Solanum lycopersicum: one gene and its partner. The protein of the gene in region 1 interacts with the protein of each later gene in a pairwise test. Links are inferred from orthologs where the notes say so. Each region holds a gene or a part of one and is shown in the gene's direction. Other genes may lie near its edges.

Region 1 (6,318 bases):
ATTTCTATGTTCAATGTTTTAGTTATGCCTACCCCTTTTAATTCCTTCATGGAGCTTTCTGAAATTGTCTTCATTGAACTTTTAAGCATTGTATAATTGAAATGACTTCTCTGCTTTGCAGCATAACCAACCACACACTTTGGTAGTTATCACTCTTGATCCTCCAATTAGGAAGGGCCAAACTTTGTATCCGCACATTGTATTGCAGGTATTGATTGATGCACATATTAAATAATGACGTACATTCTGTTCTGGTATTAACCTGCTGCTTCTTTGTCTTACCAGTTTGAGACGGACAATGTGGTAGACCTTTCGCTGGCTTTAAGCGAAGACCTTCTAAATACAAAATACAAGGAGAGGCTGCTAATGGGTTACAAAGTAATATTTTTTTTGTGTTTATAGTCATTTGGATTTGCATCAACTGTGAAAATAGAAATGCAAGTTCATTGTTTGTCAAAAAAAGAAAAGAAATGCAAGTTCATTGTATTCACGTGTTTGGTGCTGTTAATTTTTAGCATTTAATAATAATTTTACTTATTAGCATTTAATAATAATTTTACTTGTGAACCAGGGTCTTATTCATGATATCTTTACTCAAATTTTACGCGGCTTGTCTGGTTCCAAAGTTACTAAACCAGGGAAGTTCCGTAGTAGTCAAGATGGGTATGCGGTGAAGTCCTCATTGAAGGCTGAAGATGGACTCCTCTATCCTCTTGAGAAAAGCTTCTTCTTTTTACCTAAACCTCCAACACTTATACTGCATGAAGAGGTAAATTCAAGTTTTTGTAAAGCTCAAAATCTTGTGAGATACATCTTCATTCTTGAAAAACTGACCTATTGTATGATGCAATTAGATTGATTATGTGGAATTTGAGAGGCACGCTGCGGGCACGGCCAACATGCATTACTTTGATCTTCTCATCAGACTGAAAACTGAACAAGAACATCTTTTCCGGAATATCCAGAGAAATGAGTACCACAATCTTTTTGATTTCATCAGGTTAGCTTTACTTTCAAGTCTTCTTCTCGCTCAATTTCGGTTTAACAAGTCTGCTTAGTCTTCCTGACACAATCATTGAGTAATGCAGTGGAAAGGGTTTGAAAATAATGAACCTTAATGAAGCTCGGGCTACAGAAGGTGTTCCTGTTTTGCCCGATGATGACGATGATGCTGTTGATCCACATCTTGAGCGTATTAAGAATGAAGCGGGCGGGGATGACAGTGATGAAGAGGTAAACATGCCTATTTGTCATTTCATCATCTTCAACTCCATGGATGTCTCTCTAAGTCATTGTCAGAGTATCTTGTTGGATTCTAGCATCTTTACTTGCCCTTTGTGTTGTTGGAAATTCTTGAAATGCTGTCTGACATTCATAACCTTTCCAGGACGAAGATTTTGTCATCGATAAGGATGATGGAGGGTCTCCTACTGATGATTCTGGAGGGGATGAGTCTGATGCCAGTGGTAGTGGTGGTGAGGAGGAGGTATAATTGCCCTTTCACGTTTATATATTTTCAAGTTCTTATTTACAAATTGGAAAAATATGAGCTGACATTCATGTATGCTGGATTCAGAAACCTGCAAAGAAGAAGCCTAAAAAGGAGGGTACTGTGTCAAAGCCATCTACAAGCAGGAAAAAGGCAGATGATGATGGATCGAAGAAGAAAAAACAGAAAAAGAAGAAGGATCCAAATGCTCCGAAGAGGGCAATTAGTGCTTTCATGTACTTCTCGCAGAGTGAAAGGGAGGTAGGTGCTCTGTTACATGATTTCTTTCTTAGAAAACCAATGACTTCTCCCGCGTTCTGTGGTCTGTATGCCAGGTTTTTTGTTCTGAGAATTATTGAAACATATAATGTTCATTTTGAAGGAAACAAGTCTTCATTCCCCATAAGATGAATAAAAATAGGCACCCAATGCAGTGTATCTAAGTCTTAGCTTTTCTTACACGAATGTATTTAGAGCCTGGGCTACTCAAAACAACTGATCCATGCATGATCGTATTAACTACTACAAAATTTAGTCCATCATCAAGTTGATAAATCCGTAGCAGACTTAAAAGTGCCAGGGTCCATAATCCCATTTTTTTTAATGGAGGAGAGGCCCATAATCCCATTTCCTTTAATGAAGGAGTCCATAATCCCATATTAGAATCCCTTTATTTATGATATAAATCCTGAAATAATTGAGTTCCTTGAACTGGTACCTTTCATGGGCATTTCATCCAATTAGAGGCATTCTGGGTGGTAGATTCATTTCCTCGAGGACAATGACATGTCTAGACAGCCTTCTGTTCTACTAGTGTAAAGGGCTTATTCCTAGTGCAGGGTTGCCTGAGAGACTTAGTGGCCTTACAGAGTAGAGTGCTCGGAGGTGGAAGAAAAAATAGGGACTAAATTGGTGATTAATGAGATGGGAGGCTCTTATGATGGTGTCAGTTAGGCCCAAGACGTATATGTTTAACAAAAGTTTATTATAATTTTTCTGGTTTGTTGGAAATTACACCCACCTGCTGTTACCGTATTAGCCTGCTTCTTTTGTGAGTTGGTGTGTTTTCTTGCTTTGAGGTACATTTCAAGACTCATCATGGTTGTAACATTCCATTCACTTCCCTTCCGTTTACTGTAGAATGTGAAGAAAAGTAATCCTGGAATTGCTTTCACTGAAGTAGGGAGGGTTCTTGGAGAGAGATGGAATAAGCTGTCAGGTTGGTTATTTTTGTGGCATTCTGGTATCTTATTTGCTTCATTATTTTATTATCAAGGGCGGTTGATTTGATGCTCATGTTTGCTGCTGTCTGTTTTGTGTTTTCATTTTCTTCAATTATATAATTGGCTCACTTGCTGTGTTAATGGTTTCTCAGCTGAGGAGAAAGAACCCTTTGAGGCCATGGCCAAGGCAGATAAGAAACGGTACAGTGAACAGATCAGTGATTACAAGAACCCTCAGCCAACTGTCGTGGATTCAGGGAATGAATCTGGGAGTAATTAAGTGCAAAATCGTTTAATCGAGTGTGGGAACTTAGAAGGTTGACGTGCCTAATCAGCAATTGTGGTTCATAGTTGGAGGTCTTGCTGCTAATGTTTTATGTGAAGCTCAAGTTTTGGGGGAAGTTGAGAATATAGGTTTCGTGAGGCACTTCTAATCAACATCTTAATGAAATATAATTGTTCGTGATATTCTGGAGTACTCTAGACATTCCTCTATGATGTGTTAGCATAATCTAGGAGCTACGTAAATTCTCCTTTAACTTGGTTTCCCGGATATGAAAAGGTAATTTTATAATTTGCTGAGCTTTTTATTAGAGATGTCTCTAGAATTTGAGGTTTATATGTTCCTGTTTCAGTTTTTTTCAATTGATAAAATAGCCAATGAAATTGCAGATCTGTGATTACCACATCCAATAATTTGTTGCAACACCTGGTAGCTGAATGTGAAAAATGTCGGACTTAGACGTCAATCTCTTCCCAAAATGATTAGAAGCGATTGTAATTTGCCTTTTTTTTAATCAATGTAAGCAATTTAACTTGCACCAAAATGCACCACTTGGTTATGGTCAGTGGAATAGCTATGCGATACGGTAACAACAGCGGATCCCTCTACAGCATCATCAAGCCCGTCATAACAACTCCACATTGGCACATGATCTGCCCGAAAATTCTATCAACCAAATGTAGAAATTCTGTTTTCATTGCCGTTGTTCAACGTGGTCTACCACGTCTCTGATCATTACAAACAATGTTGTGAATGCAGTGTCTTTGGGTGATCACGTTCTTCACGTAAGAAATTACCTGTCGAAATATAAACAGTTTACGATTGTGCTTGGTACTAGCTCGTTAAGAAGGCTCTTTTTCTAAAAAAAAATTAAATAAATAGTTGAAATTGGTATTAAGTTAATTGATAATTGGACCCTTCTCGATTAAAATGACAAAAATTTCCCTAAAACGGTTTATTTAGAGGGAGTATATAAATTGTAAAAATATCTTTGCATGGAAAAAAATAAATGACAAAAAAAGAGATGGAGAGGGACCTGGGGATAAAATTAGTTAACGTACTGTCCAGTTTGCTTAGCGAATGCAAGGGTAACATTGATAGGGTCGGGCTTATTCATCTGCTTCTGGACTCTCCGATAACTTGTCTTTGTGAAAATTGAGTAATGTGATTGTAACTTCTAGTTTCTTCGTGAAAAAATCATGCCAATTGACTGGTCAGGAAGCTGTTGGTTTGACGGAATTGCAATACTTACTCCAAGGCTGGCTAAGCGCTTTCCATGTTGTTATCTATTTTTTTGCTTCAGAGTGACTGGCAATGTGCCCGCCCATATGCTGTAGGATATTACAATGTTGAGCTTCATCTCTCATTCTTGCACTTGCATGGGCAAGCCAATGACTTTAAAATTCAGTACAACAGCCTAGTCCGTGTTTTTTGTTGCCCAAGGCTGTTCCCCGTTTAGCATCTTTATCAATGTTTTAGTCATGCCTACAATCGTCTTCATTGAACTTTTAAGCAATTGTATAATTCAAACCGACTTCTCTGCTTTTGCAGACTAATCAACCACACACTTCAGTAGTTGTCTGTCCCTCTTGATCCTCCGATCATGAAGCGCCAAACTTTGTATATGCGTACATTGTATTTGCAGGTATTGATTGATGCATATGGTATAATGACGTACATTCTATTTTTGGTATCACCTGCTCTTTTATATTACCAGTTTGAGACTTACAGTGTGGTAGACCTTTCGCTGGCTTTAAGCCAAGATCTTTTAAATACGAAATACAAGGAGTGGGGGCTAACGAGTTACTAGGTAATTAGATTTTTTAATTTTTTCTTGTGTTTATAGTCATTCGGATTTGCATCAACTGTGAAAAAAGCAGTGCAAGCTCATTGTGTTGACGTGTTTGGTGTTGTTTACTTCTCTAATTTAAATTATGAACCAGGTTCTTATCCATGACATATTTACTCAAATTTTAAGCGGCTTGTCTGGTTCCAAAGTCACTAGACCAGGGAAGTTCCGTAGCAGTCAATATGTGGTGGAGACCTCACTGCAGGCTGAAGATGGACTCCTCTATCCTTCTTATTTATACTGCATAAGGGGGTATATTCACGTTGCTGTAAAGCTCAAAATCTTGTGAGTATCATCTTCATTCTTGAAAAGACTGACCTTATTCATTATGCAATCAGATTGATTATGTGGAGTTTGAGAGGCATGCTGTAGGCACGGGCAACATGCATTACTTTGATCTTCTTGCCAGACTGAAAACTGAACAAGATTATTTTTTCCGGAACATCCAGAGAAATGAGTACTACAATCTTTTTTATTTCATCCGGTTAGCTTTACTTTCAAGTCTTCTTCTCTCTCAATTTGGGTTTAACAAGTCTGCTTAGCCTTTCTGACACAATCATTGAGTAATGCAGTGGAAAGGATCTGAAACTATGAACCTTATTGAAGCTCGGGCTACAGAAGGTGTTCTTGTTTTGCCCAATGACGAGATGATGCTGTTGATGCACATCTTGAGCGTATTAAGAATGAAGCACGTGGGGATGGCAGTGGTGAAGAGGTAAAATGCCTATTTGTAATTTCATCGTATTCAACTCCATGGTCGTCTTTCTCTAAGTTAGGATGAATCTGATGCCAGTGGTAGCGGTGGTGGACGTATAACTGCCCTTCATGTTTATATATTTTCAAGTTCTAGTTTACAAATTGAAAAAATATGAGCTGACAGTCATGTATGCTGGATTCAGAAACCTGCAAAGAAGAAACCAAAAAAGGAGGTTACTGTGTCAAAGCCATCACAAGCAGGAAAAAGGCCGACAATGATGCATTGAAGTAGAAAAAAACAGAAAAAGAAGAGGGATCCAAATCCTCCGAAGAAGGCAATTAGTGCTTTCATGTACTTCTTGCAGAGCGAAAGGGAGGTAGGTATTTTGCTACATGATTCCCTTCCTAGTAAACCAATGACTTCTGCTGCGTTCTGTGGTCAGAATATAATGTTCATTTTGAAGGAAACAAAGTCTTCTTTCCGTATCAGTAGCTTTCCTCATATGAATATATTTGGAGGCCGGGCTACCAAAACCACTAATCCATGCATCATCATGTTATTAACAATCCTGAAATCATTTTCTATGAAGCAAAATAATCCTGAAATCATTTTTTATGAAGTTGGGAGGATTCCTGGAGAGATGGAATAAGCGTTTTGTGGCATTCTGGTAGTTATTTTATTTGTTTCATTATTTTATATTTAAAGGCGGTTGGTACAATGCTAGTCATGTTTGTTACAGTCTGTTTTGTGCTTTTTTCTTTAATTATCTTATATCAT
Region 2 (7,587 bases), on another chromosome or scaffold:
TGTAAGTTCAGGAATTGATAAATGATCTTCTTCCATATTTTCTACATATTCAGTCCTACCCCCAACATATATTGGATCTACCTCACTCACCAAGATACCCCCAAATTTGAACCTTAAATTGAGGTACCTATTAGCCATAAGTCAACCTATAACCACAATAACAATCAGTATATTGTATAATGCAAGCAACAAAATCGAAGCATATACAATAACATCAAAACAGAAGCAACAATTGGTACTTAGTATAGTAGACATATTACTCATCAACATACAATAGGCATCCCACACAATATACTTAAACAAATTACAAAATACCTTACCATTTAACAATACCAGAAACCCTAGCACTTAAAACCTTAATTTTACCAAAAAGCCTTAATTTTAAACTGATTATCAGAAACCTTAATGCTTATGCATGAATAAGGTAAAAAAAACTTCATAATAATACATTCATTAAGTGAAAATTCTAGTTGAAAACTATTAGACCCCTAATCGGAAACTCAATCGGAAACTATGGCGAAATCTCAAACAAAAAATAGGGCAAAATATGAATGAAAAGTAAATTAAACATACAACAATACATCAAGCCTTCACGAAATCGAGTGGATAATCACTTACTTGTTAACAATTTCAGACAAGATCCAAAGAACCAATCGACACCAATCGACCAAACACTTCACGAAATCTAGCAAGTCTTTACTCCAGAACTGCAACTGGCAAAAATCTACTCGTTACTTTGTCGATTACACTTGTCAAATCTACTCGTGGGAGGTTTAGAGAAAAGCAAAGAGGTTTAGAGCAAAACGAAGAAGCTTCTTTGAGAAGTTTTAATCGATGTGAATTGTGAAGGTTGGTCCCGAAGTTTTAATTATCTAGGTGATAAAATATTTATCTAGGTGGCAAAGTATTTATCTAGGTGTCGTGCGCGTGTAGACACGATCGTAGTGATCAGTCAGAAAAGGTGTACGTGTTGGATGAAAAAGCAAGTTCAGGGGGTAATTAAAACAAAATAAAGTTTAGGTGTACACTGAATAAAAAGTTTCAAGTTCAGGGGGTAATGAATAATTTTGCCAAAAAAATTAATGATTAAACTGATTGTATTTTATTATGTTCATAATTATTTGTATTTATTGAGAAATTTGTATAATGTACTATAATTTTGTATATGTATTATAGAGTGATTTTAACAAAATTTCTTTTATACAAAACTAAACATTATTTGTATACAAATATCTAATGCCCCTCATAAGACTTTGTATATGTTACCTTAATATATGACTCACTATATACATAACTTTGGTAATTGATATACAACTAATAGAATATACAAATAAGGACTATCTCATAATACTTTGTATATATACACTTAATATACAATCCACTAGTTATGTAATTTGTGTATAAATTATACAACCTAATGTTATCGATATTCTTCAGATTTGTCTAGTTCTGATGAGGCAGATTCAATCTCTTCTGAATCAATGTTTATGGCTTTTCTCTTACTTCCACCTTCAACAATCTTAATGCCGCTAAATTTCGCGTTGTTGATGACTTTATGAATTGTCATTTGGTCATTTTCTTTCTTGGATCTCATTCTTCAATAGATTGTTCAACTTGAACTTGTTTATGTTTTGTCATAGACCCTACATTGGCCCCAAAATCACGAGTTAACCCAATCGAAATGAAGGTGGGTTATCAACAACATTGACATGCAATGACATACCTCTCGTAGTCCTCATAGATGGAGAGGAACCATTCATTCCGATTTTTTTGACAGACTTGTAATCTGATTAGTAAAAAATATTTAAAACAAATATATATGAAAGAACTAACAAACATAATACATCAAGAAAAAATATTAAAAGCCAACGAATTTAGTGATTACCTGCGAAAAGTGGAAGAACAATCAAGGGAAAAAGTCAAAATTTTCCCAATTCGAAATTCAAATTAGAAGGGAAGAGTGATTTTAGGAGAAATATATGGAATGAGAATATGAGAGATAAAGTTGATTTTGTATAAAATTATGTAGAAAATCTTTGAATGACTATTTTTATTCCGTATACAAATAGGTAGAGTAAATAAATTAAATTATACCCTTAACTAATTACTTAAGGATGTTTGTCATCCCATGTAATTTTCCATTAAAAGAACATGAAAATTCATCCTATAATTTGATCTAGCCCATTTAGCCCGTTAAAGAACATGAAATCCATCCTTTAACTTGATTTGGGCTCATTTAGCCCGTTAACTACACTAATCAAGGCAAAAGGCTAAGTCAGATGTACTTTCCCTGGCCCCATCCCCACCCCCTTTAACATTAGCTAGGGTTAGCTTGAATTATGTATGACCATAATTTAGTGAGTCGAATTTTCTTAGCCTGACAAGATAATATCATCACTTCAATATTCGAACAATAAAAATTAAAAATCTCATTCAATTGATACATAAATGACCAAAAAAATGAAGGAGTAGACATTAATATTCAAAATATACGTAATCTAAGAACATGGTAAGTAATTTTATAATTTTTTCTATTTATTGATTCATTTTCTTCTGCAATCTTGGACTTCCTCCTCCCTTTCTCTTTCTAGGTCTTTTATGGCCTCTTTGTTGCTGATTTAGATGGGAAATCAACTTTTATAGAAACAACTGGCTTAATTGTGAAGGCTGATGGAGAAGAGAAAGGCAGGAATGACCTGATTTCATTTCGGATTTGAATTCTGACTCGTCTTCACTTTTGAAATCAAAAGAAGATTGAGATTTATGTGGGTTTGACCTGTTTTTTTTAGTATTTGGTCTCTTTTCAATTTGAGGGGTTGTCTCGAGTTCCTCACCATTTTTTAGATTCAGAACTCTTTCTAACCTCAACACTCTTTTTAGCTTTGCCATTTGAGCTATTGTTAACATTATCCTTAACCCCTCCATTACTAGATCCTGGAGCGCCCCAGTTCTCTTCGAGTGCTCAAAACCAGAAAATCCTGACTCTTCGTGAAAACTGGCTCTTCACCATCTTTCACATTAGTCAAAATTTTCTTCTTTAGCCTCCTTACCTTGTCACTAATTTGACTCTTGGAAACTTCAGCCTGCAACTTCCCCTTGATGAATTCATGGAAAGCAGACATGTCGGCACTAGGTTCCATACCTTTTACCGTCTTGTATTCAAGAATCCCTTTGAGTAGAGCAAGCTGGTCATCATCGCTCCAAAGACTCCGGGAAGTAGCAGCAGACTTTTTCTCCTCTTCTTCTGCAACTTTGGGCATTTTCCTACCTTTCTCTTTCTGTGCCTCTTGCGGTCTCTCTGTTGCTGATTTCGATAGGGCAGCAGCTTTAGCAGCAACATTCGGCTTACGAGGAGGAGGAGTTGATTTTTTTTATCCTAATTTTGGTTTCCTTCCTCCCTTTCTAGGTCTTTTGCGGCCTTAAGTTGATTTTAATGGGGCAACAACTTTTGTTGAACCGATGCAGAAGGGGAAGACAGGGAATAACCTTATTCAGATCCTAACTCATTTTCGCTCCTGAACTCAAAAGATGATTGAGATTTTTGTAAGGTTTAAACTGATCTTTATATAATGGATCCCTTTTTAATTTGAAATTTATATCAAATTCCTTATCACTTTCATCACAAATCCCATTCCATATGTGAGTAGTTGTATTGGTGTTATTCATAAATTTCACTTGGAATACACGTCTAAATGGGGAAAGTGATTATCCAATCGTAGAAGGGCGCGGCAATCGATTAATACATTGGCTTTTTGTATAAATTGAGAAAAACCCTACACAAAGCTTTCATCTTTTTGACTCTGCTTCAACACTCACCCATACACACAGTTGACGGCCGAATAGCTCTCTCTTCTTGCTTTCACAAACAATGGCCCCCAAAACCAAATCCCGCTTAGTAGACCAGCCTCCTTCTGCATCATCCTCTGAAGAACAAGAATTGGTGGAGGAATCCCAGGAAGAAGAAGAACAACAATCGAGGGAGGAAGAAGGAGAAGAAGAATCAGGGGAAGAAACTGAAGAAGATGAAGAACCCAAGACATCTCATCCCGTTGTAAAGAGACCCATTTCTCAAAAACTAGTTCAGACACCACAGAAGCCCCAATTTTCTTCTGGAAGCGAAAATGGGTCAGGATCCGATTCGGAAGCGGAATCGGGTAGTTCTCTGCCTTCACCTTCTGCATCGGCTTTCACCGTTAAGCCGAATGTTGCTGCTAAAGCTGCTGCCTCATCGAAAGCAACACCAAAGAGACCACAAGAGGCGCAGAAAGAGAAAGGGAGGAAGAAGCCAAAGGTTGCAGAAGAAGAGGAGAAAAAGTCTGCTGCTACTCCCCGGAGTCTTTGGAGCGATGATGACCAGCTTGCTCTACTCAAAGGGATTCTTGAATACAAGACGGTAAAAGGTATGGAACCTAGTGCCGACATGTCTGCTTTCCATGAATTCATCAGGGGAAAGTTGCAGGCTGAAGTTTCCAAGAGTCAAATTAGTGACAAGGTAAGGAGGCTAAGGAAGAAATTTTTGACTAATGTGAAAGATGGTGAAGAACCAGTTTTCACGAAGAGTCAGGATTTTCTGGTTTTTGAGCACTCGAAGAGAATTTGGGGCGCTCCAGGAGCTATTAATGGAGGGGTTAAGGATAATGTTAACAATAGCTCAAATGGCAAAGCTAAAAAGAGTGTTGAGGTTAGAAAGATTTCTGAGCCTAAGAGAAGTGCTAAAGTTAGCAAACCAAAGGATGATGAGAAACAGAAGGAAGAAGAGAAACAGATTGCCGTAAAAGAGGTGGTTAAGGAGGATATAGTTAAGGGTGATCAACTGGATTTCCAGTCCAAGTATCCACGTTTGGCTGCATCACTTGAAGCTATGTCTGGCTTGTCTAAAATGTATCCTAATGGAACAAGTTTGTTGAAGGAGAAGATGAGTTTGATTGCTACCGACAAGGCTAAAGTGTTGGAGGAGAAGTGGAAGATTCTGGAGGATGATGAAGCTGACTTGATGGTGAAGCGCCTCGATTTCATTGCGGAGCATTACAGATTGGTGGTTGATGCAATGAGAGGTAACTAGATGCTGATGGATCCTGTTCTATTCAATGCTACAATTTGATGAACTTGTGTTTAGCCCGTGAAGTAGAATTAGTTTTTCAGGTTGTTTCATACATTTACTTGCTTATTTAGTTTTACTAGTGAACTGGTGTTTATGATATCGGCTGTGTTGCTTCTTATATATGTTGGTGTGGTATGGAGTGATTGGCTCTATTGTGGAGTTGCAATGAAATGCCTACACATTCCTATCATATAATGTATGATGGAAGCAAGCTTAGGAACAGCTGAAGTGGAATGTCTGGTTCATCTTTTGTAATATGTCATTTCCTATTCTAGATGGAAATATATTTAAATGCGATCTTTCTCAGTTTTTGCAGCTTGTGTTGATTCACTTTGTTCTCAAGTTGTTGTAGCTTGTGTTGTCCTTGGCCTACTTGTTATCTCCTTGCAATGTTGATTCACTTTGTTCTCAATGGTTGTTCATGTAATTGATTCGAGTGGGGGATAGTTACGTTTTCCTCTAGATTTTTCCTTTGGTATAGAGCGCAATGTTGTTTCCTGACTAGACAGTTGTTCAATCCTTGAGGTTTCTAGTCTAGTTATATATCTTAAAGAACTTGAATTATGATAGAGAAATTCCTTACTGGCGCTGCTTATTAGGTGTTTCCTTTAACTGCTGATTCTCTATTCTTTCCTAGTGAAGATATTCTGCAGCGCATGAATGCACACACAGATACACCTTGTATATGTGTGTGCGTGTATACACACTTGGATTTATCATCATTCAATCAACTATATGTCAATCCTACGAGTCTATGACAATTGAGGTCAGTTATATGAATTCTCAATATCCGTTTGTTTTGTTCAGGTCCATTGCAATCCCTATACTGAATAATTAGGTCTTAAAGGACAAATTAAGATAGTTCTAAATCTCCCACTCATCTCTTTATGGTATCTTCTTACTAGTCATCACTCATACAGATCTTTTGGTTCCATTTTGTTCTGTTTTTAACCAAGTCTACATTGATTTCAATAGACTTTAGGGCTTGAAAAAAAATTTCTCCATGCGACTCAATTTCACCTCTTAAAAATCTTTATTATTATTTCGTCAAACCTATAAAACAGTGCATTTTGAAGGTCTTAACACTGGAGGAAGCCATCTAACTTTATCTTCTATATGTACTACCTGCACTCTGTTAGCCCTCCTAATTCAATTGTATATTGCTCTCTCTCTCATACCTTTCGAGGTAGACTCAGAATAGATATCTAAATTGCTCCGTTATGCACCATAGCTCTATGTTACGTAACAATTTTAGCTCTGATTTATGTTTCCTGGAAACATATTTCCCATTTGCTTGCAGTTGCGGAACATCAATTGTGCTGGTTGATGTTGTCGCTCTTTTTTCATACATGCAGAGCATAATCCTGTATGTTCTTTACAAGTCTAGGGTGTGATTCGTATGGCGGAAAATGTTTTTCAGTTTTTCACTCGGAAAATTAGCTGAGGAAAAGGATTTTTCTAATCGAACTAGGGAATCAAGTTCCATATGTGTCATTTCATTCGTTCTCATATCATCTTTTTTGTTTATTTACCGAACACTAGAAAATGCATTTCTTCCCACACCCCAAGTATGCTATCGTGCTTTTGGAGCAGTTGTTTGATTCTTTGCAAATGATCAATCTGTTGCCAGGGCAAATGATTATATTTTCTGTTGATACAATCAAGTGTGATCTTAGATTTAAGATACATATCTTGTAATTAGTTGCGATTATCAATAATATTGTCTACAACACAATCATAGTACCAAAACATCTTCATTACATTACAGCCCCAATAAACAAAAAATAAATAATTTGGATTATAGGGCAAGTAGCATTGAGGCAGTAGAATAATAGGCAACAGCAAAGATGGCATGGATGAAACACAAAATTCCACCAATTGAGAAAAAATGGTGATGTGAAAACCCACAAGAAGCTCTTGATTTGTTGTTTGCCATTGTCCCTATAACCAGTAGTCCCATTCCTATTGCCATTATGATCCTGTAGGGAAAAAAAAATAACCACAAATTAAACCCAACAAAATATATGATCTTCTTATTTGTTTTTATCGATTTTTAATGAGTTAGCTTTTTTGATTAAATAGTTACGGTTCATTTCTTTAAACATACAAGAGTCAAACACATATTATATCTTTGGTTTATTTCATGTTGGGCCTAAATATTACGTTGTTTATGTTTCAGATGTCCAATCTTGAACACATGCATGATGTTTGATCATGTCTAGTCGAAGAAATGAGTCATTCAATGTTCTTTTTATATATAATCTCGAATAATATTCTTTCACCTTGTGAAAAATTAGATCTAAGGTCTCAAACATTTCATAGTAAGAAAAACCAAAGTAAATAACAAAAAAAAAACTCTCCGTTTCAAAAAGAATTATCTCCTTTCTTTTTTGTAAAAGAATGACCCCTTGGTAATACTTTTGTTTTAACTTTCCACGTGACATACTTTGATAAACGAATGAGTTGAAGAGGTACCATGTAAAAAC

What was found.
Region 2: the proteins of FACT complex subunit SSRP1 (region 1) and STOREKEEPER protein interact in binary tests that used the Arabidopsis thaliana proteins (3 or more experiments, as listed by UniProt). The link is inferred for Solanum lycopersicum from reciprocal best matches to the Arabidopsis thaliana genes HMG and AT4G00390.

What each region holds. Positions count from the first base shown.
Region 1 is NC_090801.1:66,346,333-66,352,650, reverse strand, and holds the end of FACT complex subunit SSRP1, read left to right. Parts: intron 1-121; coding exon 122-208; intron 209-285; coding exon 286-378; intron 379-571; coding exon 572-769; intron 770-854; coding exon 855-1,000; intron 1,001-1,088; coding exon 1,089-1,233; intron 1,234-1,387; coding exon 1,388-1,486; intron 1,487-1,576; coding exon 1,577-1,750; intron 1,751-2,629; coding exon 2,630-2,708; intron 2,709-2,864; coding exon 2,865-2,992; 3' UTR 2,993-3,305; downstream 3,306-6,318. UniProt on the Arabidopsis thaliana protein: Component of the FACT complex, a general chromatin factor that acts to reorganize nucleosomes. The FACT complex is involved in multiple processes that require DNA as a template such as mRNA elongation, DNA replication and DNA repair.
Region 2 is NC_090806.1:63,815,944-63,823,530, forward strand, and holds STOREKEEPER protein, read left to right. Parts: upstream 1-3,272; 5' UTR 3,273-3,868; coding exon 3,869-5,062; 3' UTR 5,063-5,416; downstream 5,417-7,587. Other genes in the region: STOREKEEPER protein-like, read right to left, coding at 2,928-3,260; protein VASCULATURE COMPLEXITY AND CONNECTIVITY-like, read right to left, coding at 6,900-7,080, 7,577-7,587.